4 linked regions of the Saccharomyces cerevisiae S288C genome follow. The gene in region 3 interacts genetically with the main gene of each other region. Each region holds a gene or a part of one and is shown on either strand. Other genes may lie near its edges. The genes, in order: PTC7, UGA2, HOS3 and HAT1.

Region 1 (8,192 bases), on a different chromosome or scaffold from region 3:
GATGGTGACAGATTATATTATGATGGCTGTGCACTAATTGCCATCAATGGTACAATTGTAGCCCAAGGTTCACAATTTTCGCTAGATGATGTGGAAGTAGTTACTGCTACTGTGGACCTAGAAGAGGTGAGGAGTTATCGTGCAGCTGTCATGTCTCGTGGCCTACAAGCCTCCTTGGCAGAAATAAAGTTCAAGCGTATTGATATTCCTGTAGAATTGGCTTTAATGACCTCCAGATTTGATCCTACAGTGTGTCCAACAAAAGTCCGCGAGCCTTTCTATCACTCTCCTGAGGAAGAAATTGCACTGGGACCTGCTTGCTGGATGTGGGATTATTTAAGACGTTGTAACGGAACAGGGTTTTTCCTTCCCTTATCTGGGGGCATTGACTCTTGTGCAACTGCAATGATTGTCCACTCTATGTGCCGTTTAGTGACCGACGCTGCTCAAAATGGAAATGAGCAAGTTATCAAAGACGTTCGTAAGATAACACGTAGCGGCGATGATTGGATTCCAGACAGTCCACAGGATCTAGCCTCAAAAATATTTCACTCCTGTTTCATGGGTACGGAAAATTCATCCAAGGAGACAAGAAACAGAGCAAAGGACCTTTCCAATGCAATTGGATCTTACCACGTGGATTTAAAGATGGACTCATTGGTATCCAGTGTGGTGTCCTTATTCGAAGTAGCCACTGGCAAAAAACCAATATACAAAATATTTGGGGGATCTCAAATCGAGAACTTGGCTTTACAAAACATCCAGGCGCGTCTAAGAATGGTTCTTTCTTATCTTTTTGCGCAACTGTTGCCGTGGGTTCGTGGTATCCCAAACTCGGGTGGATTGTTAGTACTTGGTAGCGCAAATGTTGATGAGTGCTTACGTGGGTATCTAACAAAATATGACTGCTCCTCCGCAGATATCAACCCTATTGGGGGTATTTCAAAAACTGACTTGAAAAGATTCATTGCCTACGCATCAAAACAATATAACATGCCAATCTTGAATGACTTTTTAAACGCTACACCAACTGCAGAATTAGAACCTATGACTAAAGATTACGTTCAATCGGATGAGATAGATATGGGGATGACGTATGAAGAATTGGGCGTGTTTGGTTACCTAAGAAAGGTTGAAAAATGTGGTCCTTATTCTATGTTCTTAAAACTTCTTCATCAATGGTCCCCAAAGTTAACACCTCGTCAAATATCTGAAAAGGTGAAAAGATTTTTCTTCTTCTATGCCATCAACAGACACAAGCAAACTGTTTTAACTCCTAGTTATCATGCTGAACAGTATTCACCAGAAGACAACAGATTTGACTTACGTCCTTTCTTAATCAACCCAAGATTTCCATGGGCTTCAAGAAAAATTGATGAAGTTGTCGAGCAGTGTGAAGCACATAAAGGCTCAACGCTTGACATTATGTCTATTGATTAGCACAGAAGAAGTGCTCACAGCAAAATAAGACTTTTCCACGAGTTCATATATTCTGTTATTTATTCTATCATAAATAAAGATATAAAAGTGATATTTAACCCTTATGTATTTTGCACGGTTTTGTGTTGACCCCAATTAGTCTTGATTACTACATTCCTAGAATCGTTCCGCTTCCAGAAATCAATTAAAGTGATTGCTGTTTTTATAGGCGAATCTTCTTGAATGAAATGCCCGGAATCTTGGAAAACTACCAACTGATATTTACCTTGCATTTGCCCCACAATTAATTCTTTATCGAGATTTTCGTTTCCCGCCAATATTAATAATTTACTAACAGGTAAGCCAACAAAGGAGTGCGACAGATCGGTAAACCATGTGTCCCAGAAAGGGCTAAAGGTCTTAAGGTTTGTTATCCTGACAACTTTCCCTGACTTGAGCGGAGCAAATAAAGCTGGTATAGCAATTTCGGCGCTTGACCTCAATCTCGATAACGCGTGTTGAACGTGCCAATCGACAGCGTCATTAATTGATTCAAATACATTGGGTGTATTCTGCAAAAAATGTTCAACTTTATTTAAGGCCATAATGGCAGCCTCTTCTACAATATCTAACATAGTAATACCAAGAATTTTCTTTTGTAGTTCTGTTGATAATTTAGGGTACGCAAAAGTACATATACTTCCACCAAGGGAATGACCAATTAGTATAACAGATACCTTCTGAAGTGGCTCTTGGCTTATTTTAGACTTAAACCAATAATTTAGCAGGCTTACAAAATCTTTGATAAAAGAGTCCCTGTCAAAGCATATAGGCGCATCAGCCTTCTTAAACTTTGTTTCTGCATGCCCCCTAGCATCAAATGCAAAGCATCCGCATCTTCCTTCTAGTTTAGTATTTAATTCCTTGGCCAAGTTTGCAAATGATAAACCTGAGGAGCCCGCCCCATGGTGGAAAATAAAGATGGGAATTGAAGTGGTATTTGATAACAATGAAGTAGGTAATGTATAGTATGTATTTACGTCCAGATCTCTATCAGGAAGACTTACCAACTCCTTATTATCAAAAAAATCACTCCAAGTGGGTAAACTACTCTTTTCCTTACTTGAAATTCTATCAGTAGTACTACCGGTTTTGCCCGTATATTTTCTGTTCCTATTTGATTGTCCATTAAATGATGGCAGGGAACCTAATGCATCACCATCGTTTTCATCATCCTCGTATGCTTCTTGGAATGTCGCATCTAGAACATTCTTGGCTCTCTCAAACTGGGATAAAGCAATTTTTCTTCTCAAATCGTCAGACATTGAAAATTTGAAAATGTCCTACCGTTACTACCAGTTTGTTGCCGTATTTTTGACTCTTTGTTGAGCATTAGTTGATCATTACCGCTGCAGTCAGTTAATGATATCCCTAAATAGGCATATTGTACAATTTCAAATATATTACCCGAATTACAAGAACAATAGGGTCTTCTACAATATTACTATGAACAATTCATAGGGGAACATAGTCCACTTCAATGTCGGTGCCAACGATTCTATTTGTTGTAAGTATATATGCTGTTTCCCGGCAATACTTTATATTGGGGGAATTTTCTGGAGGTTTAAGGGCATATTACTACGTCAAGGCTGGGATTGACCTTCTGGTATATATTACGTTGCGCAGGACATTCCTTATACTTGAGCCTTTGTAAAAACTTCTTCGTTCTCCTGACCAACCGTTCAATTATGTTGTGAATTTTTTGATCCGAGTTTGAAACATCCAAATTCACAAACAAACCGTTGTCATCCTGAGTTGGCGTCGGCCATTGAGCTTCCTCTATGTGTTTTAAATCTTTCATTTTAAGAAATCTAAGTAAGGAAATTGTTTCTCCACATGTGTACCGTATAAAGTTCTTGTTATGAATTAGAAGGATTATCACAAAAGCCCTCCATCAAATCTGATAATTTCATTACCCAAAGACTGTAATACCTTGGGTGTAAAGATCGTATTTTTTGATGTCTTCGTGATATTTTGCAGATCTTTCCATTTTATAAATTTCTGCAAATATCGTGCATCAGCTCATCTTGGAATTGGCACAATCTGCGTAATTTTTTTCTTGGTTCTCTTCTCCTTTTGATTTTAAGAGCGCTTTCTATTCAGTAGCAGATTTTCAGTAAATAAAGCCATCTTTCTCAAGTAAACTCATGATCATGCAGTTGTTCAAAATTACACCAATAACGATGTTATCTTTAAAACTTTCCCCAGAAAGAAGATGGCACTTTTGCACTAAATACTTCAAACTATTTAACTTTGAAGCAGGACATATTGCCGGTTATTTGACCATGCTGGCGCCGTTGACATTCATGTAAGCAGTATTAGCTTTTAAACTGCCATTAACGCACCTATACGATTGCGGCGGTGCGAAAACAGTAACTAGCACTCTTACGGCTCATTGTTTCCTCTATCCAAAGTTGCCTATATCACAATAAAATTAGAAATTAATCATTTTAATAAGCTTGCTGCCATTCAGTGACTCGCAATCTACGTTTTAAACGTAATTTAAAAATCCACTTCCACCTACATATTTTGCAACAGTCGTACGACAGAAACTGAGGCTCTATAAAATGAGATGTGCTAATTGTTCTTTCTTGGCTGGTTTCAGCTACATCTTTCTGTAATCAATCTACAAATTTACACGCGAGCTTCATTTTGACAGTAAACAAATGTAAAAGACACATGCAATAAAAGCGGTCCAGAAAACAAACGACAAAGCCACCAAAAATGTTTGCAAACGTTGGATTTAGAACTTTGAGGGTCTCGAGAGGTCCCCTTTATGGTATGTTTATTGTTTTATTCATTGGTGTGCTAATTGCTAAATTTGCGGGACAAATGCTAATCGACTCAGAGACTAACTTTTCTCATATCATAGGATCCTGCAGTCAAATCATCAGCTTTTCCAAGAGGACTTTTTACTCAAGTGCCAAGAGTGGGTATCAATCGAACAACAGTCATGGTGATGCGTATAGTTCAGGTAGCCAATCAGGCCCGTTCACCTATAAAACCGCGGTAGCTTTCCAACCAAAAGACAGAGACGATCTGATATACCAAAAACTAAAGGATTCTATTAGATCACCTACAGGAGAAGACAACTATTTTGTTACATCAAACAACGTTCACGATATTTTTGCCGGTGTCGCAGACGGTGTTGGAGGATGGGCTGAGCATGGGTATGACTCCAGCGCCATCTCAAGAGAATTGTGTAAAAAAATGGACGAAATAAGCACTGCTTTAGCAGAAAATTCATCCAAAGAAACGCTTTTAACGCCAAAGAAAATTATTGGTGCTGCATACGCAAAAATTAGGGATGAGAAAGTAGTGAAGGTTGGTGGGACAACAGCCATTGTGGCTCACTTCCCATCTAATGGAAAATTGGAAGTTGCCAACTTGGGTGATTCTTGGTGTGGAGTCTTCAGAGATTCTAAACTTGTATTCCAGACAAAGTTTCAAACTGTTGGATTTAATGCTCCTTACCAATTGTCAATCATTCCAGAAGAAATGTTGAAAGAGGCCGAAAGAAGGGGTAGCAAGTATATTTTAAACACCCCCAGAGACGCTGATGAATATAGCTTCCAATTGAAAAAAAAGGATATTATTATATTGGCTACCGATGGTGTAACCGATAATATTGCCACAGATGATATTGAGCTTTTTCTGAAGGATAACGCTGCGAGAACAAACGATGAGTTACAGCTATTATCCCAGAAGTTTGTGGACAATGTTGTCAGTTTAAGCAAGGACCCCAATTACCCCAGTGTTTTTGCGCAAGAGATTTCTAAGCTAACTGGCAAAAACTACAGCGGTGGTAAAGAAGACGATATAACTGTTGTTGTCGTGAGAGTTGACTAACACTCCGCTCTTTAATCTCCTGGAAAGCAGTGTAAATAAAAATACAGCGTCATAAACGGTACTATATAAACACGTAGCCATTTAATAGAGCCAAACATAAGTGGGCATATATAGTAAAAATTTAAAGAACTATATTCGCAAAAGAATCTCAGTCGAAAGAACGTTTTAAAACAATCTTTTTAATCTTGTTTCGCTCGGTTTTTAGTTTCTCTTCTTCTTCAAGGACATCAGAGACAAATTTCACATCCGTTGGTAATTGTAAAATTCTTGATTGTGTCTTCTTACCGCTTTTAGTCAAGAACGTAAATGCAATCTTCTTTGGCTTGGATAACTCTTCGTAGGTCTCCTTGCTTGAAGAAGGTTCTTCACTCTTTTTTAATAATAAAGGTTTTTGAACGCTGACTGGCTTCGAAATTACTGGAATTTTACTGGCAACAACCTTTTCGCTTTTCCTTGCGTCTATGGATTCTTGCATCATTTTCTGAAATTGCCTTTCCAATTCTTCTTCCGCTTTCCTTTCTTCCTCATCCTTTAGTTTTCTCTCGTACTCTTCATACATTCGTTTCATTTCAATATCTCTGTCTGCGTCAAGATCACCACCATACTCCAAATCAGAGTCGCTGTCTTCTTCTTCTTCATCATCATCATCCTCATCATCATCATCTTCATCATCATCCTCATCGCCTTCTTCTCCATCATCATCATCATCGTCATCGTCATCGTCATCATCCTCGTCATCGTCCTCATCGTCTTCATCTTCACTTTCGTCTTGCTTTGCCTGATGTTTTCCTGGCGCTGACTCTGTGTTCGGTGTACTTATCTCCGCGTCTTCATCTTCTCCTAGTAAATCGACACCATCGTCGTTTTCATCATCTTCATCCTCATCATCTTCGGTGATTGACTCGATAGGAACAGCACTCTCCTTACCGTTGTGAATGCTTGCAGAAGATCCCTTCACTCTGTCGTCTTTACTTTTTATTGCGTTTAATGATTTCAGTAAACTTTCCAACCTTGAGGCACTTTCTACCAAATTTTCTGACCTTTCAAATTTAGTGTTTCCGAAAATATTCTCATATTTTTTAAATGTGCTTGAAACTCTGAATTCTGTTTCCTTGGGTAAAGGTTGTTCTTTAATAAAAGTATAATACTCGAAAAACCTCAGCAAAAGTTTGCATTTCTTAGTAAAAGCTGCAGGGGTCCTGTTGATATTTAACAGAATTGTAGTGACTAGTTGAATCCTGAAATAATTATCCGGTGGATCTGAGTAGTTTAAATAAAATGGATTGGGTTGATTGTTGATATGACCAAACCGAATAATGTGGTAGATAGTATCTAACAAAACATCGGATTTTATCATTTCAAAGTTGAATATTTCAGTTAAGTATCTGACATTTGATATTCTATGCATGTTTTGTCCATAATCGTTAATTTCTAAGCCTCGCTCAATGTTTTCCAGTACTTGGTCTATACATCTGATGACGAAATCGCGGCGGTAACTGTATAGACCGCCTAGAACTTTTGTTAATAAGGGAATATTTTGATAGCTAATCTTATGTGGTTTTGAAAACAGAGAAAACAGCACTTTCTGAATAGCTACATCGTCCCAGTGAGCTTTCCGAACCAACTTGACAATGTGTTTGAAGTCTAGGCTACTTAGTTCACTTCTAATTAATATGCGATAAAACTGTTGTTCAGGCGTTATTGTTTTTACCGTAACATTTAATGATTTTACAGAAGGGGGATAAAGTAAAGTAATTATGTTTTCTAAGGCGCTTTTCATGTTCATGTTCAATTGCCTATCATTTTTTTTATCCTTGATTAGTTGGACCATTTTTTCCATTAATTCCTTATATTCTGGCTTATTTAGCAGAAATTTCCCTGAGTGCTCCAACAAAACCGTCAAAATTTCTACGTTATTTGGAACTTGCATATACATGATTAATGTTCTAATCTTATGAAAAATCATAAACGATGGTATTAATTGAAATTTAATCATTTCACTGAAGAAGATGATGTTTTTAACGTTAATCTTATTAGAATGTAATTGACTCCTGAAGCCATTGTCTAGGTAGTTAATAAACTCAGAAACAATTTCCGGCATATATTTGCTATTTGTTGCAATAAATCTGGAATACACTGGCAGTTTGCTCCAATCTTGTGTTTCCATGAAAAATTTCAATATTCGATTTCTTGTGGCTTTGTTGTCCAAATATGATGACCAATATCTATTTGAAAGGTCATCGATTATATCTTTACAATCTGCCATTTCCAAATCCGTAAAGAATAGATTGATATTTTTTGAGTTAACGTTTGAATCTTTTTCTGTTTTAGAAGATTGTGATTCTTCTACTGTTTTTGAGATATCTGGTAAGATTTCATAAAATTTCCTTGTATCTTCATTTTCCCATAATCGTTGGTTGGGTGGCAATATCTGATTCGTGATCATTGGAGAAGCTGTTTCTTTCAGATCATCATTAGAGGCACCTTCAAGCTCCGGAATTTCTAACTTAAAAAATTCTCCCAAAGTAATTGCAGATGTCTTGAACCTAATGAATATTGGAAGTAACTTGTCGTACTCCTCTACGTACTCATCTCTCAATTTTCCCGTTCTTATTTGGCATTTCTGATGTTCTCTTTGCAGTTTATTGACCTTCTTATGCAGTTCTGTGGCCCTCGCAAAAGTGGCGTCTATAAAATTCTTAAACAGAGACTGTAACGCACCTTTTAACTTCGAGTCATATATTAAATCATCCCAAGAATTATCATCGTCGCGAAACAAAGGTGCAAATTTCTTAATAAATGCGGTCGCAATAGTGGTAGTAAAGCCCAATTTGAACTTATAATTAAGAATCTCTCTGAGAATA
Region 2 (7,866 bases), on a different chromosome or scaffold from region 3:
TTGGAAGTTATGTTCTTGATAAAAAAAACACTGTCCCATGATAGTAGCTTATTCCAAAAATACTTGTTCCAATAACTGTTGATTTCAGAGGGAGAAGAACATAATTCGTTTAATAAAAGTGATGTTGATGTATCAAACTGCCTAATTGGAGTCAAAAAAACCAGTAAATACTGTATTGAACGGAATAATACAAAATAAAGTGTCAACCCCACAATCATATTTTAATTTAGTCTTATTCCGCCTCCTCTCTCGAAGCCTCTCTTTTATGTCTTTTTTCGATGATGAGGCTTACTTTTTTTTTCAACTAAGCCTTGAAAAAAAAAGTTTGATTTAAAAGGGATTTTCTATTTTAAGTATTTAAATGACCGACAGGAAGCTCATGCAGAAAAGGCACCTGTAATAGCTTATTGATCATTCCAATAAATAGGAAAGTATAACTCGAATTAAGAATAAGGAATGGGACTTATTTCATACGAAAATGAGGCGATAAACGAGGTGAAAAAGGCAGATAACCATCACGTTAGCAAATTTGTGACTAGTTACTATGGGCCATCATCGTCGTCATGGCAGTCAGGAATATGGATTTTGTTTGTGCTGTTTGTTGCCGCAGTAATCCTTATAATACTGTTCACTTTTGTAGCGAACAGAAGGAGACGAAGGATGGGGCGTGCTCCCATTAGAGGTACGGCATGGTTGACACCGCCTTCATACAGACAGTCTCAGCAACAATATACTGGGACCGTTCAGCAACGGACAGATGATTATGTTCCTGAGTATACAGAAACAGCGAACGAACATGATCTTGGATACTATGACCAGCGGGGCGAGTTTCACCCCAACGATAAGGCTGCATACGTGGCCCCCCCGCCATTGGTACAAGAATGTTCATCAGAATCTGTTAATTCTTTAGAAAGACCTCCCGCTGCTGTAGTTCACCAAGCTAACTCTTTAGATACGGATTACGGTTTAACAAGGCCTAGCAATGGGCGCGTTCCAGCTGTAAGTGATACGGTGGAGCAATTGGAAAGGCTTCCGGGCGGGACTACAACGCAGGAAATTAACCCACCGGAGAGGGCAAAGGTAAATGCAAGGTCATGAACTGAATCTTTTTTTCCGGCTGTCCTCTTACAGTTGAGTTACAATATTTTGCCAGAAATATTTACATTTTTTTACCCAATCTCTATAATAATTATTTTAATTCCTAATCCGCTTCAGGCCCGCGGTCGTTGAAGTGCTATAGTTTATATTCAGTACATTGTCTTTAATCTCTCAGTATTATTTTATCAATAGTAAATACTTCAAGTCCATCGCACGGCGTGGTGGTGATAAAGGGAAAATGCGCGCGGGATTAGCAAAGGCGGCCAATGGATTAAGGGTGACAAGATAGCACCACATCACATCACATCACCATCAGTAATGGAGAGGAAATAGGGTATAAATACTCGTCAGAGATCAATAGATATTATTTCGCAACGTCCTTTATTGTTCTGTTCTTATTTGATCAATTAAGCTAGAAAACCAGCTACATTAAAAGCAAATTTTACAAACTACTATTTCAACATGACTTTGAGTAAGTATTCTAAACCAACTCTAAACGACCCTAATTTATTCAGAGAATCTGGTTATATTGACGGAAAATGGGTTAAGGGCACTGACGAAGTTTTTGAGGTGGTAGACCCTGCTTCCGGCGAAATCATAGCAAGAGTTCCCGAACAACCAGTCTCCGTGGTTGAGGAAGCGATTGATGTTGCCTATGAAACTTTCAAGACGTACAAGAATACAACACCAAGAGAGAGGGCAAAGTGGCTCAGAAACATGTATAACTTAATGCTTGAAAATTTGGATGATCTGGCAACCATCATTACTTTAGAAAATGGTAAAGCTCTAGGGGAAGCTAAAGGAGAAATCAAATACGCGGCTTCGTATTTTGAGTGGTACGCCGAGGAAGCACCCCGTTTATATGGTGCTACTATTCAACCCTTGAACCCTCACAACAGAGTATTCACAATTAGGCAACCTGTTGGTGTATGCGGTATAATTTGTCCATGGAATTTTCCGAGCGCCATGATCACGAGAAAGGCCGCCGCTGCTTTAGCTGTGGGCTGCACAGTAGTCATCAAGCCAGACTCTCAAACGCCGCTATCTGCTTTAGCAATGGCATATTTGGCTGAAAAGGCAGGCTTTCCCAAGGGTTCGTTTAATGTTATTCTTTCACATGCCAACACACCAAAGCTTGGTAAAACATTATGTGAATCACCAAAAGTCAAGAAAGTTACTTTTACTGGTTCTACAAACGTCGGTAAAATCTTGATGAAACAATCTTCTTCTACTTTGAAGAAACTGTCTTTTGAGCTGGGTGGTAACGCCCCTTTCATAGTCTTTGAGGATGCCGATTTGGATCAAGCCTTGGAACAAGCCATGGCTTGTAAATTTAGGGGTTTGGGTCAAACATGTGTGTGCGCAAATAGACTTTACGTTCACTCATCCATAATTGATAAATTTGCGAAATTACTCGCGGAGAGGGTCAAAAAATTCGTAATTGGCCATGGTTTGGACCCAAAAACTACACATGGTTGTGTCATTAACTCCAGCGCTATTGAAAAAGTTGAAAGACATAAACAGGATGCCATTGATAAGGGAGCAAAAGTTGTGCTTGAAGGTGGACGTTTAACTGAGTTAGGTCCTAACTTTTATGCTCCAGTAATTTTGTCACACGTTCCCTCAACAGCTATTGTTTCCAAGGAGGAGACTTTTGGTCCATTATGTCCAATCTTTTCTTTTGATACTATGGAAGAAGTTGTCGGATATGCTAATGATACTGAGTTTGGTTTAGCAGCATATGTCTTTTCTAAAAATGTCAACACTTTATACACTGTGTCTGAAGCTTTGGAAACTGGTATGGTTTCATGTAATACAGGTGTTTTTTCGGATTGTTCTATACCATTTGGTGGTGTTAAAGAGTCAGGATTTGGAAGAGAAGGTTCGCTATATGGTATTGAAGATTACACTGTTTTGAAGACCATCACAATTGGGAATTTGCCAAACAGCATTTAAAGCAATAGTAATCGTGGACGATACTTAGAATTGAATATGATTCTTTGTAATGATTGTATATATCTATTGCATGTATAAATACTCTACTCCTCGTATATAGAAAGTTAAGTAAATTTTTTGAAAGAAAAGAGTTCATATATTTACGGAGTTTTGAAGTTTTTCACAAGCGGAATAAGTGATACCATTCATAAAATATCATATCTATCTATCTATCTATTTTTGTGAGATATATGGTACGAAAATAAATGCCTTTCCTTTTAAGCCTTTCTGTAAGCTTTTATGTATACAACGTTTCTTTATCTTTATTTCGGACCTTGTTTCATGTACTTTTCCTTATAAATCCAATCTGAACCTAATAGATTTGCACCTTTTTTATCGGCTATCCTAAACCATGCAGCAGCTCTGGCGAGATCCCTTTTCTTTACGTTTGAAGTTTTGGACCAAATTGTCCCGCTTAAGCACATTGAGTCTACATGGCCTAATAGAGCAGCTTTTTCCAAAAATTTCAAACCTTTTCGCTCGTCGGGATGATCCATCCCAAGACCCTTTAAATATGCCATACCACATTCGTACAAGGCAGGTGCTGTTGGTTCAGGCGCTATATCAGGGATATCGTCCATTGAAGCAAAATTTAACGGATTTATATCTAAATCAAGAACCTCAGCAGCAAAGGATTTGATATCAGTGGCAGCCATTAAATATCCTAATGATAATTTCAAGTTCTTGTCCACTCCGCAGCCATGTCGCAGGGCTAGTCCATATAACAGAAACGCAGTTTTGTTTCCGCACGCGCAGGCTTTTTTCAGTCGTTGTGCAGATTCTTCAAGTTTGCCTTGATGACGCATAGTAATTGCCTGTCCGATGTGTGAAGATTCATCATTATCATAAGGTTCTGGGTGAAATTTAAGCTTCCCGCACTTGCTTGTTGCGTTCGATCCTTCTTTTTTATGACTGAAGGAATCCATGCATTGCGTCGAATTATTGGGCAACATACCATCTAAAGAAAGTGTTCTTCTTCTAACTTTCGGGTGGTAGGGCTTATTTGATTGTTCTGTTAGTGCACTTAGTTCACCTATTTTTGAATCTTTTTCCGTTGTATGGAAATCCGAGAAAGTTCTCAAATGAGTCCTATTTGGACGTGCTTTACTGTTCTTTTTTTTATCCGTGGATGACTGAGGTGTTGATGCTGTTTTAAAATGGAAAACTGGGTTTGGAGGAAAAATATACCTAGCTAAATGTGGACTGGAATTATTAATGGTACTTGAAGTAGATGGAAGTTGAATATTCTCCCCAGAGAAGTCCAATGAATTGGTGGCAGACCGGATAGGGCTTGATCCTTCAGACTCAAGGTCTTTCTTATTTTTTGCTCTTGTCCTAGGAGATTTAAAAAGTTTTTTTAGCGAATTTAGTGACGTTTTTTTTTTATGAGCTTTATATGGTGGCGTTGGAGGTAATGAAATATCATTTGTCATGGTATTTGTTTTCGTTATCGTCGAGGTAGAGGAATTAGACCGTTTAGGAGATGGTTTGATGGGTGTTGTATCACTCTTAGTTAACTTGAGTTTGGAGAATGAGGATGATTCACTTTCAAAAGAAGACTGAGTTTTCGGCTTTGATAGTTGTCCAACTTCAGAAAAGGAGGTGTTGGTGCTTGTTGAACTTCCGTTCCGATAAAGACAATTACTCTTTTGCGTGGTTGTGAACTCATTGGGGCAACTCTGCTTCTCGGATATTCTGTCAGTTTTTGTAGATGTATTAATATTATTACTAGTAGTTCTGTTATTCTTACTATTAGCATTATTGTCAACGCTAGTATTATTGTCTGATATCAGCGTAGGATAAAGATGGTGCAGTCTAGTATTTTCAATCCTATATTTCTCGAAGTTGAAAGGATTAGGGCTATTTGTGCTTCTATTGCCATTTTCAAGGTTTGGGTACTTATAATCTTTCTCATTTCTATTCATTTGGGGTTTCATGCCACTAAAAGTCTCAGAGTCATAATCTTCTTCGACGATATAAGAGTATCTCGACTTCACGGGCAAATGCCTTTCCACTTTACCGGAAGAGTATTTGCCTCTCAAAGTGGAATCCTTTTCTTTTAAATTGTCTATGATAAGAGAACGATCTCTAGCTTGTATATATGTTGGAGAGGGATTAGTTCTATACCTTAATGAAGGGAATTCCGACGCAGGCATACATAATGTTGGACCACTTGTTTGTGACAGTTGCGAATTTCTCGACGCGTTTTCTTCTTCTAATAAAGCTTCTTGCAGAATCAGTTCATCTTCCAAGCTGAGGTCTAATTTGTCAAGAAGTCTTTCCGTGGTTTGAATAGATTCGAATGAAATGCTACTTTTATTTGAATGAGCATAGCTAAATTGTGAATCCATTGATGACTCGAAGCTATTATTGGGTGGTGGGCTTTGTGAAACCTCTGAAGAGTTAGCTTTTCTTTCTTGATCGTCGCTTCCTATTCGATCAGCCCAAGAAGTGTTTTTTAAATTTTGATTCATTACTTTTCGTGTGACGTAAAAGTCCGTTTGTTTTTCTAGATTTTCTGTTTTTTCTCGAGGCTCCTACAAGTTCCACCTATATTTAGCATTGAGGAACAGAATGTGCTATCGCAAAGAGCAATGGCAACAGAAAAAAAGAGTTGCTAAAGAAGAACTATTTTTGAATGTCCGTGGTAATACAATGGAAGACTACTAGAACACGATGGCAGATAAGGTGATTTGATAATCAAATTCAACGACGGTTGCACCGTTGTTCTTTCTGCCGCTCTTCGTCCGGAGCCTTCTGTGATAATTGTTTTAACGCGCAGAAACACACGCAGGCTGCGTAAAGGAATGGTGGGGCTCGAAGAAGTGACAGTGGGTGTCCACGGAATGTTCTGAGCGCAGGGATCCGGTGTTGCCATCGCACACGATATGAGACGCGTTCATTTTTTCCAGCAGTCACCTAAAAGTTCAAGAAACGCTATGTTGTAATGCAGCTGTATTGTACACTGGCTGGTATTGCCGTTCTGATCTATGACTTACTTGTTAGAGGTAATAGCTGTCTTAGATCGGCTTGCTTCTTCTGACTTCCTTCTTTTTTTTTTTTTTTTCGAAGTGAGGCATGCTGCAGTTTTGTGCAGCTTCTCTTGCATCACTTCCTGTATTATTTACGTTGTTTACATTATCAGGTATTTTGTATTATTTTTTGCGCAACAGCAAGCAAACGCAATAGCGATAAATGCCATAATATAATCAAAATTTAGCAAGGATACATAGCAGCAAACCCGAACCTTTAGGCCTCTCATAGATGAAGAAAATTTGTACAATTCTTTTGGTTCTTTGGCTCTTCAAATATGAATTTATTAAGAGGAAATCCTGAAGCATCAGAACATCGCAAACTTTTTATTCGCAAGAGGATTTATCCTCTGATTAGTTATATATGAATATGTGTTCCTTCTGCATGATTTTGATATCAATAGTATGCATTTTTTTTCGATTCGTCGTAGAAACATAGCTACTCTCATGACCAAATGACTCTTTTTGGCTTTGACAGTGGAACAGCCAAGTTTTTATGTAGAAATATATTATCTGTTAACTGGAAATGATGTCTTAGGCCCATAAAATGTGCTAGAACGTATGGCTAATCCTTTTGCTCTGTATTCAATTGAGTATTTTGCTTAATTTCTATTTGATAATTGAACTTCTTACGTGTATAAATGGTTGCATATTTCTTTAGTAAGTACTATTTTCAAATATGAGTGAAGGATATTGTGGCTCAAGTAATTCCTCTTTCTTTTTTCATCCGTATGGTAAGCAAAGGGTCACAAAGTAACCGATAGTGTGTAGACCTTAGATCTTCCTTCAAAGATTTCAAGTCTGCGATAAATAAACATGAGAATACTTGCAACAACAACTTTTATAAACAATGAAGTTCATTATGAACAGTATTTATTTCACTGCTAAACTTTACGTAAACTTATGTGGAACATCTTTGTCGACAGATGGACGATAAGTAAAATTGTGTTATTATAATTCAAATTTTCATGGTAAGAACATCGGCTTTCTACTCCTCTGTGTACGAAGATCTTGTACGTAATGATGGCCCATACTTATAAAGTATAAACGGGATAATAGCTAGACCTAAAGTTAGGAACCCCACTAAGGACGAACCCCATGCCACAGGATAGTTCTTAGTAGCTAAATTGTCATACATTGCTCTACCAAACAACGGAAAAGCACAGGCAAACGAAGCCCGACAAAAACCATTGCCTGCAAAAACGGATGCAACATACTTTGGGTAGCATGTAGCCAAATATGCAAAAGTTGCTTGGAAAATGTTAAAGACAGCTAAAACAAAAAAAACTTCCGAGATAACTGGCAAAATCCAATGCACTCGAGCAGTCCAACCAAATAAGAACAAAGACAGAGGCAGGCACCAGCAGACACACATTGCCACGATTAAAAAAGCTTCCGGGGTGAATGTGCCGTTTCTAAAACGTGGTACAATAATCCTCATGTTTAAAATACCGAATAAGCCATAAGCAAGTACGCACCCTACGCAAAACCCCATATAGGCCAAGCCAACTTCAACTAAGCTGAAGTGGTATATACCTACAAATACAATAGGGAATGCTTCAAAGAATAAGTAGAAACAACCATAAGCAACAGCGATATAGAGATCAAAAGCCAAAATTGCAGGCTCTTTGATAATCATTTTGAGAGGCCTATACAAAGTATTGATCAAAAAAGTTCTTGCATCAACTTCTCTATCGAGTTTATCCTGTTCAGTATAGTACCTGTCATCACCAGTTTCTTT
Region 3 (9,070 bases):
TCATAGACAGGAAATCCGGTAAGGAGATGTTTAAATTTTCAAAATCTATTCATAAAGTTCGCGAATTAGATGTATATATGAAATCACATGTTCCCGATTTACCATTGCCCACGTTACCTGATAGACAATTATTTCAGACTTTATCACCTACAAAAGTGGATACGCGAAAGAACATATTGAATCAGTATTATACAAGCATATTCAGTGTCCCTGAATTTCCCAAAAATGTTGGTTTAAAAATCGCCCAATTTATTAGTACAGATACAGTAATGACACCTCCAATGATGGATGATAATGTGAAAGACGGATCACTTTTGCTGAGAAGACCAAAGACTCTAACAGGTAATAGTACATGGAGAGTTCGGTACGGTATTTTGCGCGATGATGTTTTACAATTGTTTGACAAAAATCAGTTGACTGAAACTATTAAATTGAGACAATCTTCTATAGAACTTATACCCAATCTCCCTGAAGATAGATTTGGAACGAGAAATGGGTTTTTGATCACTGAGCATAAGAAAAGCGGACTGTCAACCTCAACAAAGTATTATATTTGTACTGAAACGTCGAAGGAACGTGAATTATGGCTTTCTGCGTTTAGTGATTACATTGATCCTTCACAAAGTTTATCGTTATCTAGCTCGAGGAATGCAAACGATACTGATTCTGCATCTCACTTGAGCGCAGGAACACACCATTCTAAATTTGGAAACGCAACTATCTCAGCAACCGATACTCCATCATATGTCACTGATTTGACCCAAGAATATAATAATAATAACAATATTAGTAATAGTAGCAATAACATTGCTAATAGCGATGGTATTGACTCAAACCCATCTTCTCACTCTAACTTCCTAGCAAGTTCAAGCGGGAATGCAGAGGAGGAGAAGGATAGTAGGAGAGCCAAAATGAGAAGTTTATTCCCTTTTAAAAAATTAACCGGCCCGGCGAGTGCAATGAACCATATAGGTATTACAATTTCAAATGATTCGGATTCTCCAACATCTCCTGACTCTATCATTAAGTCACCAAGCAAAAAATTAATGGAAGTATCCTCTTCGTCAAATTCTTCTACGGGTCCACATGTGTCCACTGCAATATTTGGCTCGTCACTAGAAACGTGTTTAAGATTGAGTTCGCATAAGTACCAAAACGTTTACGATTTACCGAGTGTAGTTTATCGTTGCTTAGAGTATCTTTACAAAAACCGTGGTATCCAGGAAGAAGGCATATTTAGACTAAGCGGGTCCAGTACAGTTATCAAAACTTTACAAGAAAGGTTTGATAAAGAGTACGATGTAGATTTATGTCGGTACAATGAAAGTATTGAAGCTAAAGATGATGAGGCATCTCCAAGTCTTTACATTGGTGTGAATACTGTAAGTGGGTTACTAAAGTTGTACTTGAGAAAGTTGCCCCATTTATTATTTGGTGACGAACAATTTTTGTCGTTTAAAAGAGTAGTTGATGAAAATCATAATAATCCTGTTCAAATATCATTGGGGTTTAAGGAACTTATTGAATCTGGCCTAGTTCCTCACGCTAACCTATCGTTGATGTATGCTCTTTTTGAACTGCTGGTAAGGATCAATGAGAATAGTAAGTTTAATAAGATGAATCTAAGAAATTTATGCATCGTGTTTTCCCCAACTCTAAATATTCCAATTAGTATGCTTCAACCATTCATCACTGACTTTGCGTGTATATTTCAGGGTGGTGAACCAGTTAAAGAAGAGGAAAGGGAGAAAGTAGATATACATATTCCTCAGGTTTGATGGTCTAAAATTGTAGAAATATAACGTTGCCAGTAAACCTCCATTGATTTAATGATAGAAAGAGGGCGAGATGTATAGAGGCTTCTTTCTTTCAACGATATATTTGTAATAATAAAAAAATGTCAGGCTGATAAAGCTTATAGAGTGACTGTCTTTTTATTCCTCAAATGTTATTTACAATACCATATAATAAAATTAGTATATTGTCAAATAAAATAAGAGAAAAAAACTAACTTCTTGACCAAATGGTCGAAGAGCTGAGATAAAGAAGGAAAAAAATTAAAATTACTAACTATACAAGGAAATATAAAAATAGAAAAATTGTGTTACTAAATACAAAAAAGTAATATATGCGTCACTTCTTTAGTGGGTTCAAGACAACATTATATATGCATTGGTATCACCATCTTCCACCACTTCTTGTTGTATGTTTTCTTGAAACATGAGAAATCATTGATATATCACTATCGTCATAAGTTGGTGTATTTGCGTTTTGAGGCTGTCTTATGCGATGCGGTTTCGTATTGGAGGGAATTTTATACATTCCATTACCTTGTAGACGGCGTTGGTGCGAGTTTTTCCAATTTTTTTCTTTTAGCTCATGGTCTGAATCTTCATCACCTTTTTTTTCAATTTCTAAGGTCTCCAAATGTCTAGAAATATCATCAATGGTAATATCCTCCACCGTGCGATTGAAAGTTTTGTTCAATTCTTCATCGTAAACGTATTCTTCATCTTCATCCTCACTGGAAAATTCTTGTTGCAAAAACGGAATTTGGGTTTCAGCTGCTCTATTATTTGACGAGAGCTGCTTGACCTTGGTATCGCTTCTAATTTCCCTTTGTTCCTGTTTTTCCGTGCTTCTCGGCTTGTTTTCATGAAGTTCTTTTTCTGGGGAAGCGTTGCTTCTATGAGATCTGATTATTCTTTGAGCAATTGTCGACGTGGATGCTGGTTCGACAGTAGCCTTTAGTAGAGAATTAGAAGGTGCGCTGTTAACTGCGTCTTTAAAAATGATATCATCGAATTCCGGTATCATTGCTCGTCCCAGCCTGATAACTTCTTCTGCCCATATTCTTATGACATCTTTTGCTCTTTTTGTCTTATAGGGTTTCCAAGCCGGTTTGCAACCACGAACAATCTCTTTAACGACTTGTTCAGACCCCCATTCTTTAACCCAATCTTGGTTTTGTAAACCGATCAAATGTGCGAAAACACCAGAACATATAGCTTTATCAGAATATCCACCCTCCATTAGAGACAAAACTTTGCCATGACAGTGCATTTGTGCTAATTTCAATGCATCTTTGGTGAACGTTGTATAAAAACTTGTAGGAACGTTGACACTATGCCTTTGCATTGAAGTTTGCTCAAATTCTGATGCATCGAAACCTGCGCTTATGACAACCAAACCTTTGAATGGTCTCCCTTGTTGATTCATTTCTAGTTTTGCGCTCCTGAAAAATTCATCTGCTTTAGCAAATAAAGTTCTATATTTTGTCCTGTATAATACATTGAATTCTTCTTCGGTTGTCCATTTGGATAAGTGAATATTCCAGATGTTTAGGTCATGAGAGTTCATGATACAGGTAGATGCATTTTTAATGTTCTCCTTTGTGGCAAATCCCGACTCTGTTGGAAATGAATTTATATCATGCATAGAAAAATAACCGACTTTGGGAAATTCGGCAAATTTCTTACCAAAATCATCATAAGATGAATCTTCAGGTTCCTCCTCAGGTTTGAAACCCGCACGTTTCCAGCAAATGTCTTGGGTCCCATCACCGTGGTGTAGATCGAAATCAAGCACGACAACATGCGTGACGTTGTAAGTATCATACGCATATTCTATGGCTACATGTGCATTGTTTAACAGACAAAAGCCGGATGGTGTACCATAGTGGCAATGATGACCAGGAGGCCGTATAGCAACAAAAGCTCTGTTACTAATATGTTCTGCAGATGGTCCTTTGAAAATTGAGTCAACACCAGTTTCAATGGCCCCAATTGTTCCCTGTAGAGCTTTAATTGTCTTTGAGCTCAAGTATATATCACCTGAGTTCCAAGTATCTGGGACTTCGATTTCGCCTTTTAGCAATTTAGCATCTGCCATTTGGCAAAGTTCAATTAACTCAGCCGGCCAGCTACTGCCATGAACTTTAAGCACATGAGGTGCCATCAATGAACCTTTCCTTTGATGCGAGGATTTCAAGGTGAAAAGGGATGGATACATTGTAATCGCAGCTGATATACCCATCGAGCTTGCTAATAATCTTTCTGGTCGTTCGACTATAGTTTTCCTATACGATTTTGTTACCCATTCTCTCGGGAACACATGCTGTAAAGAATATGGGGATAGTACTACAACAGCTTTTGCAGATTCCGGTATTTGTGCGGCAGCTCGAGCTGCCGATATGACATTAGGGTTATTTTGAACAAATGCTTGAAATTGCTTATAAAATCTCTCCAATGGATCTGAATGCTTGGAAGACATATTATATCGTCGAATTTCTCTGTTTACTTCCAGAGCCCTTTTTTTCGTTATATTTTCAGTGACTTAAGAAGTATTGGAGAAACTGAACTGATCAACTCCACACGAAAAGAAAGTTTGTAATTTGGAAAAGGACTAGTTTTTCAAAAGAGAAGATCTGATAATAGATCAAGCGATAAAAAAATTAACAAGATCTTATTGTTCAATTCAGAAAAAAACGTAAACAAAAAATAGTTCTTCATGTTTAAAGGAAAGAGTAAAATAGTATTATCCCTTGATTAGTTGTTTACAATTCTTGAAACTTTCCCAAACTGTTGTTTACATTTCTCTAAAACAAAAATAAAAACATGAGCAGGGTAACACTCAAGGGTCCTAAAAAAATTAGGTTTTATTACAGAAATTGTATAGGACATTTTTAATATTACGAGGGTAAATAAATAACAGTCACAGAATAGTATAGGTTATTAAGGGCTTCATGCGGCTATTTTGCCTATATTAATTTCTTTTTTTTTTCTTTTTTCTTTTTTTCCGCTGCTATCGGTAAAAGTTTCCGTTCTTGCTGGAACGAAATGGACAAAACTTAATTGTGATTGAAATTTTTCCAGTCAACAGTTTCGCAATGACGATGCCCAGCCGATTCTTTTCCCTTTAATTGTTATTAAGAAACATGATTATTCATAACTCTTTTCTTGTCGATGGGGGTTGCCTTTCTTTTTCGGTCTTAACTCCATTTATATTTATTTATTCATTTTTATCTATTTAACAGGAAACAGTTTTCTAGTGACAAGAAGGCGTATATCCCACTTAATTCAATATTAGAGTATTCGTATTTGGAATACAGGAAGAGTAAAAATAAGCCAAAAATTCATTACACCTCAATGACTGCCGACAACAATAGTATGCCCCATGGTGCAGTATCTAGTTACGCCAAATTAGTGCAAAACCAAACACCTGAAGACATTTTGGAAGAGTTTCCTGAAATTATTCCATTACAACAAAGACCTAATACCCGATCTAGTGAGACGTCAAATGACGAAAGCGGAGAAACATGTTTTTCTGGTCATGATGAGGAGCAAATTAAGTTAATGAATGAAAATTGTATTGTTTTGGATTGGGACGATAATGCTATTGGTGCCGGTACCAAGAAAGTTTGTCATTTAATGGAAAATATTGAAAAGGGTTTACTACATCGTGCATTCTCCGTCTTTATTTTCAATGAACAAGGTGAATTACTTTTACAACAAAGAGCCACTGAAAAAATAACTTTCCCTGATCTTTGGACTAACACATGCTGCTCTCATCCACTATGTATTGATGACGAATTAGGTTTGAAGGGTAAGCTAGACGATAAGATTAAGGGCGCTATTACTGCGGCGGTGAGAAAACTAGATCATGAATTAGGTATTCCAGAAGATGAAACTAAGACAAGGGGTAAGTTTCACTTTTTAAACAGAATCCATTACATGGCACCAAGCAATGAACCATGGGGTGAACATGAAATTGATTACATCCTATTTTATAAGATCAACGCTAAAGAAAACTTGACTGTCAACCCAAACGTCAATGAAGTTAGAGACTTCAAATGGGTTTCACCAAATGATTTGAAAACTATGTTTGCTGACCCAAGTTACAAGTTTACGCCTTGGTTTAAGATTATTTGCGAGAATTACTTATTCAACTGGTGGGAGCAATTAGATGACCTTTCTGAAGTGGAAAATGACAGGCAAATTCATAGAATGCTATAACAACGCGTCAATAATATAGGCTACATAAAAATCATAATAACTTTGTTATCATAGCAAAATGTGATATAAAACGTTTCATTTCACCTGAAAAATAGTAAAAATAGGCGACAAAAATCCTTAGTAATATGTAAACTTTATTTTCTTTATTTATTTACAGAACTCTGAATATACATTGATTGTTCACATTTTTTTTTTCTCTTCTCAATTTCCCTTGATTATATTCAAAAGGTTATTGGCCTCTTGAATGTTTCCCACTGATGGTCGACGTGCCCTTCTAGAGGTCAATGGTTTATAAATTGGTCTCTTATTGAAAAATTCTCTGGTCTTGTCATTTTGTGGTTCGAGTAATCTAGCGTGCATCGAAACAGAACCATTTTTCTCCATAGATGCCTCCAAGATCTCGAACAAGAACGTTTTCATTCTGATGAAATCTCCCATGGAGTTAAAGGAACTAGGTGGTGATTGGAAAAATACCACATCGGCCACAAACCCACCAATAGCTGCCAGCCATTTATTGTCGTTGTTCTCCTTAACAACGTTCAAGATTCTACCGGGTACTACAGTCCTTTGAATGACACCATTTGGTGAGTTTTTTAGCTTTCCTGGCAAGCTGTATGATAATCCACCTGTACCAATGATTTCAGTGTTAAATTTTTTATTCGTTTTTGTTTCCAACTTTTTGTTTAGAAACTTCACTACATAGTCTTCCAGCTTATTAGAATTCAATTTCAATTCATCCGGATGATTTTCCACCAGCCACTCTTTAAATTCATCTTGAAACGATCTAATTAGTGCTGTTATCTTCTTCAAACGCTTCTTCATAGCAGCAGGCGAAATATCTGTATCTCCTTTCATTTCTTTGAATAAGGACAATTTAGCATGAGACTCATCCTCAGGACGAGATATGTACTTGAAAAATGGATTTTGTCTGCCTATATTAGACACAATTGGTACTCCCATTTCTTGAAATCTTAGCCTATTCCATTGCGTACCGCCTCTAGGTTCGAATGTGGTAATTCTTTCCAACGTATCCAAATCGTTGTACACCAAATATCGAGATTTAATTTTCGAAGGAATAGCGGATTTCAACCCCCATTCTTGTCTGTATAGTGTCGATGGCTTAGTTTCGATGATTTGATGTGTTGGATGAAATTTTTTGCCAGTGTATGTCAATGGTTTATGATTGTTAGCTACTTGAGCTATTCTCGACCGTCCAAGCAACTCTGCCAATGTCATTTCGTTCAATTTTTTCTAAAATAAAGAAAAAGAAAAAGAAAAATGATCGAAACAGTCTCACCAAGGGTTGTAGCAAATGTCTGTATGATTTTTTTTCTTCATCACGGCACCTATTCGTATTGCTCCTTTAACTCTACATCTAAGTTCTTCATTCTTTGATTTCTCAAAACAAATATCACTGTCAACGTAAATATTACCCCGCGAGTTCTTTAACAATTTTAAGGGAAGGTTACTTAAGGTCATCTCTGAAGTAATGCCTTTATTTTATAACAAGGATTATTCATGATTATAAAAGATATCGGTAGTGTCAGTTAAAGGATATTTTAAGAAAAACCCCTTTGAGTGAAAGTATTACAAGAAAAAATGGCAGACTTGCCACAGAAGGTATCTAATTTAAGCATCAACAACAAAGAGAATGGTGGTGGTGGCGGCAAATCATCTTATGTCCCACCGCACTTGAGAAGTAGAGGAAAACCATCATTCGAAAGAAGTACCCCAAAACAGGAAGATAAGGTTACGGGTGGTGATTTTTTCAGACGTGCTGGAAGGCAAACTGGGAACAATGGCGGGTTTTTTGGCTTTTCTAAGGAAAGAAATGGAGGGACGAGTGCGAACTATAACCGCGGAGGCAGCTCAAATTACAAATCATCTGGAAATAGATGGGTAAATGGCAAGCATATACCGGGGCCTAAGAACGCGAAATTAGAAGCCGAACTGTTTGGTGTACACGACGATCCCGATTACCATTCATCTGGTATAAAGTTTGATAATTACGATAATATTCCCGTAGATGCATCTGGAAAAGATGTTCCTGAACCTATACTAGATTTTAGTTCTCCCCCTCTGGATGAGCTGTTAATGGAAAATATCAAACTTGCTAGTTTCACCAAACCTACTCCAGTACAAAAATATTCTATTCCAATAGTTACCAAAGGTAGGGATTTGATGGCATGCGCACAAACGGGCTCAGGTAAGACAGGTGGGTTTTTGTTTCCGCTCTTCACGGAGCTATTCAGGTCTGGGCCCTCTCCAGTACCCGAGAAAGCACAGAGCTTTTATTCTAGAAAGGGATATCCATCTGCTTTAGTACTTGCACCAACTAGAGAATTGGCTACCCAAATTTTTGAAGAAGCAAGAAAATTTACGTATAGATCTTGGGTTAGGCCATGCGTTGTTTATGGTGGCGCGCCAATCGGTAACCAGATGAGGGAGGTTGACCGCGGCTGTGACTTATTGGTGGCTACACCAGGGCGGCTGAATGACTTATTAGAACGCGGAAAAGTTTCTTTGGCTAATATCAAATACCTGGTATTGGATGAGGCTGATAGAATGCTAGATATGGGATTCGAACCCCAAATTCGCCATATAGTTGAAGAATGTGATATGCCCTCTGTGGAAAATAGACAGACCTTGATGTTTTCCGCCACATTCCCAGTAGATATCCAGCATTTGGCACGCGATTTCTTAGATAATTATATTTTTTTATCAGTAGGAAGAGTCGGTTCCACCTCAGAAAATATCACGCAAAGAATATTATATGTCGATGACATGGACAAAAAGTCTGCGTTGTTAGATTTACTGTCTGCAGAGCATAAGGGATTGACATTGATTTTTGTTGAAACGAAAAGAATGGCGGATCAACTCACAGATTTTTTGATCATGCAAAATTTCAAAGCTACAGCCATACATGGTGACCGCACACAGGCTGAACGTGAACGTGCCTTATCTGCTTTCAAAGCTAACGTAGCTGATATCCTGGTCGCAACAGCTGTAGCAGCGAGAGGTTTGGATATACCGAATGTCACACATGTCATTAATTA
Region 4 (7,880 bases), 230 kb from region 3:
TAAAAGTTGAATGACTAGAATGTGGAGAAATAAGGTCATCTCAATAAAGTTTGTAAACGGCCCGAGGTCCGACATCGGGGAAGTGGCTACCTATAGACAGCATCATATATCAGAGAGATTGGGGACGAAAAGCGCGATGTGGTAAAAAAATAAGTCAAAACTCCAGAAATAATACAATCAGAGAAAAAAAAAAAAAATAAGAATATATTTTACTAACGAGATTGGAATTGCTGAATAATTTTTTGATAGGTGTGTTAACCGACCATATTTTCCCCTATATGTTTTCATGATGAATATGTATAAATTAGCTATGATTAGACATGCTGTATGGAATTTTATTTATATTTCAATATTGTAATAGCAAACGAAGCATTCTTGTAAATTGGAACTGCGTTACAACTTGTTAACATTGCTTGCTTTGGTAAGTGCTTCCAGACCCTCCAAGTTCAAACTCTTGGGCCTTTCAATTGGTAAACCTAGAATGCGATCCCAAACAAGTTGTGTCAAGGGTCCCATGGCCCTTGAACACCCAAAAATGACGGTAAAGAATAATAATTCCCTGATTCCATAATGATAAAACAAAATCCCCGATGCAGAGTCAACATTGGGAAATGGATTCTTACTCTTTCCGTGTTCCAACAAAACCTTAGGCGCTATTTCTGCCAATTTTTGCATCAACAAAACGTTCTTGTCGTTCTCAAATTCAATAGGCCTCTTTTGCGCAAATTCAAGCATTGCTGTAAATCGAGGATCCGGTTTACGCAAAACTGCGTGCCCATAACCGGGGATCACACGGTTTGAATTCAAAATTTTCCAAAGATAATCTTTGATTTCTTGTTCTCGTGCAATGCTGGAAATATTAGAGTTCATCTCTATGAGAAACCTTACTACTTCTTGTGCTGCTAACCCATGCAAAGGACCCGCTAATCCCATTATTCCAGATGAATAGCTGAGATACGGGTCACTCAACGCACTTCCAACCAAGTGGGTGGTGTGAGCAGAAACATTACCACCTTCATGGTCTACATGTATACCGGTATATAACCGCATCAAGTTTATGAAGTCCAGGGATTGCTGGGAAGTAAGGTTGCATGTATTAGAAGAGTTCGTTCCATTTGTCATGCCGAGCAGGGAACATATGTTTGTACACCAATCCACCTCCTCACTATATTGACCTAATGGGTGTCCCTCATTTGTAATGTTCGAATAAATTCTCCCAGTCAGCAGCGGGAGTGAAGCAATTAAATTTAGCGAATCTTCAAGAGTATCTTTCCAAAATTCCATCTTTCCTATGAGGCCCTTTTGGTAGTTTGTAGCAAAGAGGGATCCTTTGTTCATTGATGCTAAACCAATTGCAAGTTGGGTCATAGGGTGCATATCTTTGGGTAAACTTGACAAAACTTTCTCTGTATAATGTGGCAATTTCCTTCCACGAATAGCCAATTCTTTCCTGAAAGAAGCAGCTTGCTGGAAAGTTGGCACACCACCTGTCATCAACAGCCATAACATTGATTCTGGCAGGAAATTATCGCCATCAATACCTGTATTAGGTAATCTATTTTGACATTCTTCAATCGTTAAACCTTGAAATTTAATGCCATGTTCGGGATCTAATGATGTTCCTTGCCAAAACATTGACTGATTACCTCTCATCCCACCTAGAACTGATGAAATGGTAATCGGTCCGACAAACGTGCTGCCATAACAGGCCTTCAATTTCTTCACAGCATCTCTTTTCTTAGGTATCACGTTTTCTAATGCTTCCTTGAGAGTCAATGCAGAAGACTTTATAATTGCAGACGAATTGAAGGACCTTCTGCATATATGTGCGCCCGGTAGAAGCCTTTGTACCATTTTGTATTCAATTATTTAGCGGCGTCTATGTATAAATTCTTGATCAAATACGATCTTTTTTTTATGATTAGAATGCTTGACAAGCCAGTCATCTTAAATACATAGGGATGAAAAAGCTTTATCTCCTATTTAAGGTCATCCATTTTCAGTGTGGAGTAAGTCATCAAAACTGCTATTTAGCCGCTTTGCCGATTTCGCTTTAGAACCGCTACCATGGTGTGTCACTTCCCCAATTTTATTTTTCTGTTCAAATTGTTTGCTCATAGAAATATTTATGTTTTTTTGTCTTTCAACTGAATAATATTTCTATTTTCGGAAATCTTAACCAACAAAAAACAATTTTTTATTTTTGTTTAATTTAAAGAAAAAAATTATTTTTATAATTAAAAAAAATTAAAAATAAAAAATATATCATGTGATCTATTTGTGATCACTACCATGATAAGAAATTTTATATCAGTCAAGATAATCTCTTTAATATAACCTGTAATTTAGAATTACGACAACATAACGGCTTCAACCTTTGCATAAGCTTATATTAACTATAGAGACACTTTGATGATCATCTCGATGATGTATTTATAAAAGAATTTCTTATTTCAGGCTTGTTAAACAAATAAATATGTTATTATATATTTAATAAACAGTTAACCTTGAGATTTATTTATCGACTCTATAATACGCCTATAATCATCTTTGACTAAAATAAATGAATTTTGTAAAGCTTCTCTTGCCTTTTCTGGATCAGTTTGATCTAGGGCATCATAATTTTTAATGTACAACCTATTCTTTACCTTTAATTCAAATGATGGAGAATTGTTTAAAAGAAGAAGCATTTCCACAAGACGATTAAACTGTCTTTCTTCCAGTTTTAAAGATTTTCGGCTTGACTCCAAAAACTCATCAGAAAGGTCGGAGTGCTTCTGAAAGACAGCATCATAACCAAGTTTTCGCAGTCTTTGAATATCATTCCTGTCGCGAAGATCGTCAAATGCTTCGTTTGGATCCTCTACAGTAATTTCAGTAATACTTTTGTCTTCTAGCCAAGATTGGATTATAGCCTCATAAAGACAGGATCCGTGGCCTTTATTTTGATAAGGTGGAAAGATCAGAAATTGAGATATTTTGGCTCTGAATTTTTTATCTATATCCTCATCGAAAGATTTTGCTCCAAGGTAGTGCCAATACTTGTAAGTAGTGACGAAACCAATCAATTCTTTTGTTTTCTTGTTCAACAACCAATAGATTTGCCAACTCGGGTCAGTCTCATCTATATAGTTAGCGGCTTCGATAAAAAGTAATGAAAAGATTTGAACACGACGATGCATTCTCCTGGCAAAATCGTCAACCAAACTCGATTTATATACAACAAATTCTTCCCCATTCAACGAATACTCTGATACTTTTTCAAAAACATCAGATAAATTATGTGTTTTTCGTTCTTCTGCAAAGCAATCTACCCATTTAGCTTCATCCCTAACAATTACATCATCCTTTGGTAGAAATGAGAGTAATTTTTTTTCCACGTCTACAATATTGTCGTCTCCTAATTTTGCTGAATACTTGACGTTAACATACGGCTTGAATGTTACTGAATCAAATGCTAGGTGGATGATGAGATCCTTATAGCCGTAGATCTTTTCGGAGTCACCGTAAATTGGATACGTGAATAATGGTGAAAACTGAACAGCGTTTTCTCCAACTATAGAAACTCTTAAGGCTTCGTTGGCGCTTGAAGTCCACGTTTCAGGCTTGAAATCATTGGCAGACATATTCTTGATTCTCACTATAGTTATAGCTTAAGCATAATTTTGCTGAAAACAATTCCAGAAAGATCTATTCCTAACTTCAAGTAGAAATACATAGAAATCTAATAAATTCGTTATTCGAAGACAATATATTTATCACTTATAACGGTGTGCTATTTCAAGAACTTAATCCATCAATTCTGGGATATATTATAACCTTTTGAGGCGATGCAGTAGACCAAAGACTTTACCACGACTTGAAAATGCTTGGCGTAACAGCCAACTTCGAAACTCACTAACATGAAACAGTTTGGACTGGCAGCCTTTGACGAGTTGAAGGATGGAAAGTACAATGACGTAAACAAAACCATACTTGAAAAGCAATCTGTCGAACTAAGGGACCAATTAATGGTATTCCAAGAACGACTGGTAGAATTTGCCAAGAAACACAATAGCGAGCTTCAAGCTTCACCTGAATTCCGCTCAAAATTCATGCATATGTGCTCATCTATTGGGATTGATCCCCTATCTTTATTTGATCGAGATAAGCACTTATTTACAGTGAATGATTTTTATTATGAAGTATGTCTTAAAGTTATAGAAATTTGTCGGCAAACTAAAGATATGAATGGAGGCGTCATTTCTTTTCAAGAGTTGGAGAAGGTGCATTTTCGTAAGCTGAATGTTGGACTCGATGATTTGGAAAAATCTATCGACATGCTAAAGAGCCTAGAGTGTTTTGAGATATTTCAAATTCGCGGCAAAAAGTTTTTACGAAGTGTTCCAAATGAGTTGACATCAGATCAAACAAAGATTTTGGAAATATGCTCAATTCTGGGCTACTCAAGTATCTCTTTATTAAAGGCAAACTTGGGATGGGAGGCTGTTAGGAGTAAATCTGCTCTTGATGAAATGGTCGCTAACGGTTTATTGTGGATTGATTATCAAGGTGGTGCAGAGGCGTTGTATTGGGATCCCTCTTGGATTACGAGGCAACTGTGAGATAGTTGACTTGAACAGGAATGGTGGATGAGCGTTAAGTATTTATCGATGTTGTATTTTATTGAGCACAGTTCTTACCGGTGATCTCTCGTTGTTGTAAACATTCGATATCATATGCATCATAAAAGTTTACATTTAGTCTTTATTTGCATCAACGCAAACCAGGGAAGTACAATAAAATAAGCATTCTATGAACTCGGAGAGCTGACGAAAAAATTTTATATTTTATATGTTGCGGATGAATTATTAATGCCATTATATAAAAATAGGTTATCAATAGGAACGTAATGGTGTGTGATAAGCTTTATAGCCTCTTGAACCACTGCACCTCCAAAAAAGGCCATTACGGAATAGTTATCGTCGACTCGTAAACCAATAAACTCATCTTTATCCTCTGCAGTTACTGCCGGTTGCTCCCAGAATTGGACCATAACTAATGCATCTAAAAGGGCATTCGAGGTGCTAAAAATACCTAACAAGTCACTTTTTGGCGGCAATATTTTCCTGACCTCCCCGTAATGAGAACAAAATGTCTCCAAGACATCCTGTGAAACTATTTTTTTACTGCGAGCCAAACTTTCCTCCACACGAGACTTGTCAAGCTTTGCTTTTACTTCATACAGTTTCTTGAGTCTGATATAATTTTCCGTTGTTGACTCCATATCTGGGAGAGTGCCCGTTAAAGGTTGAAAGCTGAGCTCCCCATTCTCTTTAGCAATATTTTTCAAAGTCAATAATAGTGTGAGAATCTCGTAGTTATAAGTATCATGCCAATCGTTCCCATAATCTGATATTTCCAAATTTCGGAGCAGATCTTCCAGTTCTTTACAACAATCATTTTGAGAGCAGGCCAAGTAAGCATAGCGTTTAGCTTCCACATAATTGGGTTCGTAGATAACATCATTCCCTAAAGGAAGGCAAATTTGGTCTAAAACTTTCTTCATCTGATCAATCGTTATCCTCCCATTATTACCATCCCTTTCAAGTTTTGCAATACACTTCATGAGCAAAACAGTATATGGAATACCAGAAAACGTGGCTGTATCCATTTTACTTAGGTCAAATGTATCTACGTAATTTATTAGTTCAGGCCAAGGGTTCTGTAACCGTAAATCATACTTCTTACTATCTGGGTGTGCTTGCAAAACAAAATGTGTTTCTGAGAGTACCAGATATATATATCCATAAAATCCAGAGACGAAAGTGTTTAGAACAGGCGGAAACTTTGTTCCTCTCTGCCGCCTAATCTCATTTAAATCGAGCATCGCAGTTTGCTCACCAATACAAGTCAAGATCACCACCGAGAAGCGGGTCCAATCATACTGAGGTTGCTGTAACGTCTTTCTAAGGTCATTTTCCTCATATTCTAGCTGTTTAGAAGCCAATGGCTCAAGATCTTTTTTAAGCTCTGCTAAAAACAGAGAACCCGATTGAACTGCACACTCTACTTTGAGCCAAGTAAGAGATGATATTCCGGCAAGCACCAGATTCTTAAAAACTTCCTGCAGCAAAGGTGTAGCAGGTCCTACCACGCACACACGGGACCGGTTCAAACTATCTTGGCCCAATGCTCCCCATAGTCTCAGCTGTCTATCATATCTTTCCATATTTTCATCTACGGCTGTCTAGTTGGCCTAAGAAAGAAAGAGAGGCGACTCATTTTTTTGACGTCAATCGTCTGACTTGTCCTTCTATTTCATTGCTAGGCTAGAAAGCTTAGCTCTTACAACCCCGCTCGTTGCAGCCGAGTGAAAAGGGGATTGCGAAAGGCGTTAGAGGGGATAAAAAGGGGCCCTTTAAAAAAAAGACGGAAAAACCGGGAAGATGCAACGGCTAAATCGCAATATATAAACAGGTGAGATAGAAAAGAAAAAAATCAGTTAACCTCTTTCCTCAATTCCAATGCTTGACCGTAAATTCTCTTTATTTGGTATACGAAAGATTAAACTTTCAAAGCTCCAACACAAGAATGCACAGAACTTACTCTTTAAGAAATCAAAGAGCTCCAACGGCTGCTGAGCTACAAGCTCCTCCACCACCACCATCCTCAACGAAGTCCAAGTTCTTCGGAAAGGCCTCTATTGCGTCTAGTTTTAGAAAAAATGCGGCTGGTAACTTTGGGCCAGAGTTGGCTCGTAAATTATCTCAATTGGTTAAGACTGAAAAAGGTGTCCTTAGAGCTATGGAAGTTGTTGCCAGCGAACGCCGTGAAGCTGCAAAGCAACTGTCTCTATGGGGTGCTGACAATGATGATGATGTTTCCGACGTAACCGACAAATTAGGCGTCTTAATATATGAGTTGGGTGAACTACAGGACCAGTTCATCGATAAATATGATCAATACAGAGTCACATTAAAATCAATTAGGAACATTGAAGCCTCTGTTCAACCTTCGAGAGATCGTAAGGAAAAGATCACAGATGAAATTGCCCATTTGAAATATAAAGATCCTCAATCAACAAAAATCCCAGTTTTAGAGCAAGAACTAGTTCGTGCCGAAGCTGAATCTTTGGTTGCGGAGGCTCAATTATCGAATATCACACGTGAAAAATTAAAGGCTGCTTATAGTTATATGTTTGATTCATTAAGAGAGCTTTCTGAAAAATTTGCCCTGATTGCTGGATACGGAAAGGCCTTATTGGAGCTGCTAGATGACTCTCCTGTCACTCCAGGTGAAGCTAGACCAGCGTACGATGGCTATGAAGCTTCTCGCCAAATTATTATGGATGCTGAATCGGCCTTGGAATCTTGGACCCTAGACATGGCTGCAGTCAAACCAACTCTTTCATTTCATCAGACCGTTGATGACGTCTATGAAGACGAAGATGGTGAAGAAGAAGAAGAACCTGAAATCCAAAATGGAGATATCCCCGGTCAAGTAGTCGAAGAAGAGGAAGTTGAATGGACTACTGAAGTTCCTGTAGATGATGAAGCCCATGAGGCCGATCATCATGTTAGTCAAAACGGTCATACCTCCGGTTCTGAAAACATCTGAGTTTTTTCTAATAATTAATATATTCGAACCTTTCTATATTGTGCTTGTTTTTCACCAGCTCGTGTCTACCTATTATTAATTTCATCTGAATTTGGTTCAAGTATTGTTCGGCCAATATTCCGGTATTGTAATCACCTTTATAATTAATTGAACAAATTTTATAAGACCTAATAATTAACCTTTCTCTTGTTCTCCTTTGCCGTAAGAGATTCAACTTTTCGAAGTCTAATTAAATGAATATGATCTATGAAGTATATATGTACAATAAAAATGCCTATATT

The links.
Region 1: of HOS3 (region 3) and PTC7, extra expression of one is lethal in a mutant of the other (dosage lethality), as found in Saccharomyces cerevisiae (one study listed by BioGRID).
Region 2: of HOS3 (region 3) and UGA2, extra expression of one is lethal in a mutant of the other (dosage lethality), as found in Saccharomyces cerevisiae (one study listed by BioGRID).
Region 4: of HOS3 (region 3) and HAT1, extra expression of one rescues a mutant of the other (dosage rescue), as found in Saccharomyces cerevisiae (one study listed by BioGRID).

What each region holds. Positions count from the first base shown.
Region 1 is NC_001140.6:246,898-255,089, forward strand, and holds PTC7 (type 2C protein phosphatase PTC7), read left to right. Parts: upstream 1-4,203; coding exon 4,204-4,258; intron 4,259-4,351; coding exon 4,352-5,328; downstream 5,329-8,192. Other genes in the region: QNS1 (glutamine-dependent NAD(+) synthetase), read left to right, coding at 1-1,440; PPE1 (phosphoprotein phosphatase methylesterase 1), read right to left, coding at 1,542-2,744; NMD2 (Nmd2p), read right to left, coding at 5,477-8,192. UniProt on the Saccharomyces cerevisiae protein: Protein phosphatase which positively regulates biosynthesis of the ubiquinone, coenzyme Q. Dephosphorylates and activates the ubiquinone biosynthesis protein CAT5/COQ7. Also dephosphorylates CIT1 on 'Ser-462', which leads to its activation.
Region 2 is NC_001134.8:245,450-253,315, forward strand, and holds UGA2 (succinate-semialdehyde dehydrogenase (NAD(P)(+))), read left to right. Parts: upstream 1-1,560; coding exon 1,561-3,054; downstream 3,055-7,866. Other genes in the region: GPI-anchor transamidase GPI18, read right to left, coding at 1-218; RCR1 (Rcr1p), read left to right, coding at 457-1,098; DSF2 (Dsf2p), read right to left, coding at 3,357-5,567; FLR1 (Flr1p), read right to left, coding at 7,114-7,866. UniProt on the Saccharomyces cerevisiae protein: Catalyzes the oxidation of succinate semialdehyde to succinate. Can utilize both NAD(+) or NADP(+) as a coenzyme, but has a 2.5-fold lower activity with NADP(+) than with NAD(+).
Region 3 is NC_001148.4:324,808-333,877, reverse strand, and holds HOS3 (histone deacetylase), read right to left. Parts: upstream 4,273-9,070; coding exon 2,179-4,272; downstream 1-2,178. Other genes in the region: GTPase-activating protein BEM3, read left to right, coding at 1-1,778; isopentenyl-diphosphate delta-isomerase IDI1, read left to right, coding at 5,148-6,014; mitochondrial 37S ribosomal protein bS1m MRP51, read right to left, coding at 6,216-7,250; putative DEAD-box ATP-dependent RNA helicase DBP1, read left to right, coding at 7,614-9,070. UniProt on the Saccharomyces cerevisiae protein: Responsible for the deacetylation of lysine residues on the N-terminal part of the core histones (H2A, H2B, H3 and H4).
Region 4 is NC_001148.4:550,351-558,230, reverse strand, and holds HAT1 (histone acetyltransferase catalytic subunit HAT1), read right to left. Parts: upstream 3,627-7,880; coding exon 2,502-3,626; downstream 1-2,501. Other genes in the region: citrate (Si)-synthase CIT3, read right to left, coding at 394-1,854; ESCRT-II subunit protein SNF8, read left to right, coding at 3,903-4,604; ULA1 (Ula1p), read right to left, coding at 4,823-6,211; lipid-binding protein LSP1, read left to right, coding at 6,574-7,599. UniProt on the Saccharomyces cerevisiae protein: Catalytic component of the histone acetylase B (HAT-B) complex. Acetylates 'Lys-12' of free histone H4 in the cytoplasm. The complex is also found in the nucleus, however it is not certain that it modifies histone H4 when packaged in chromatin.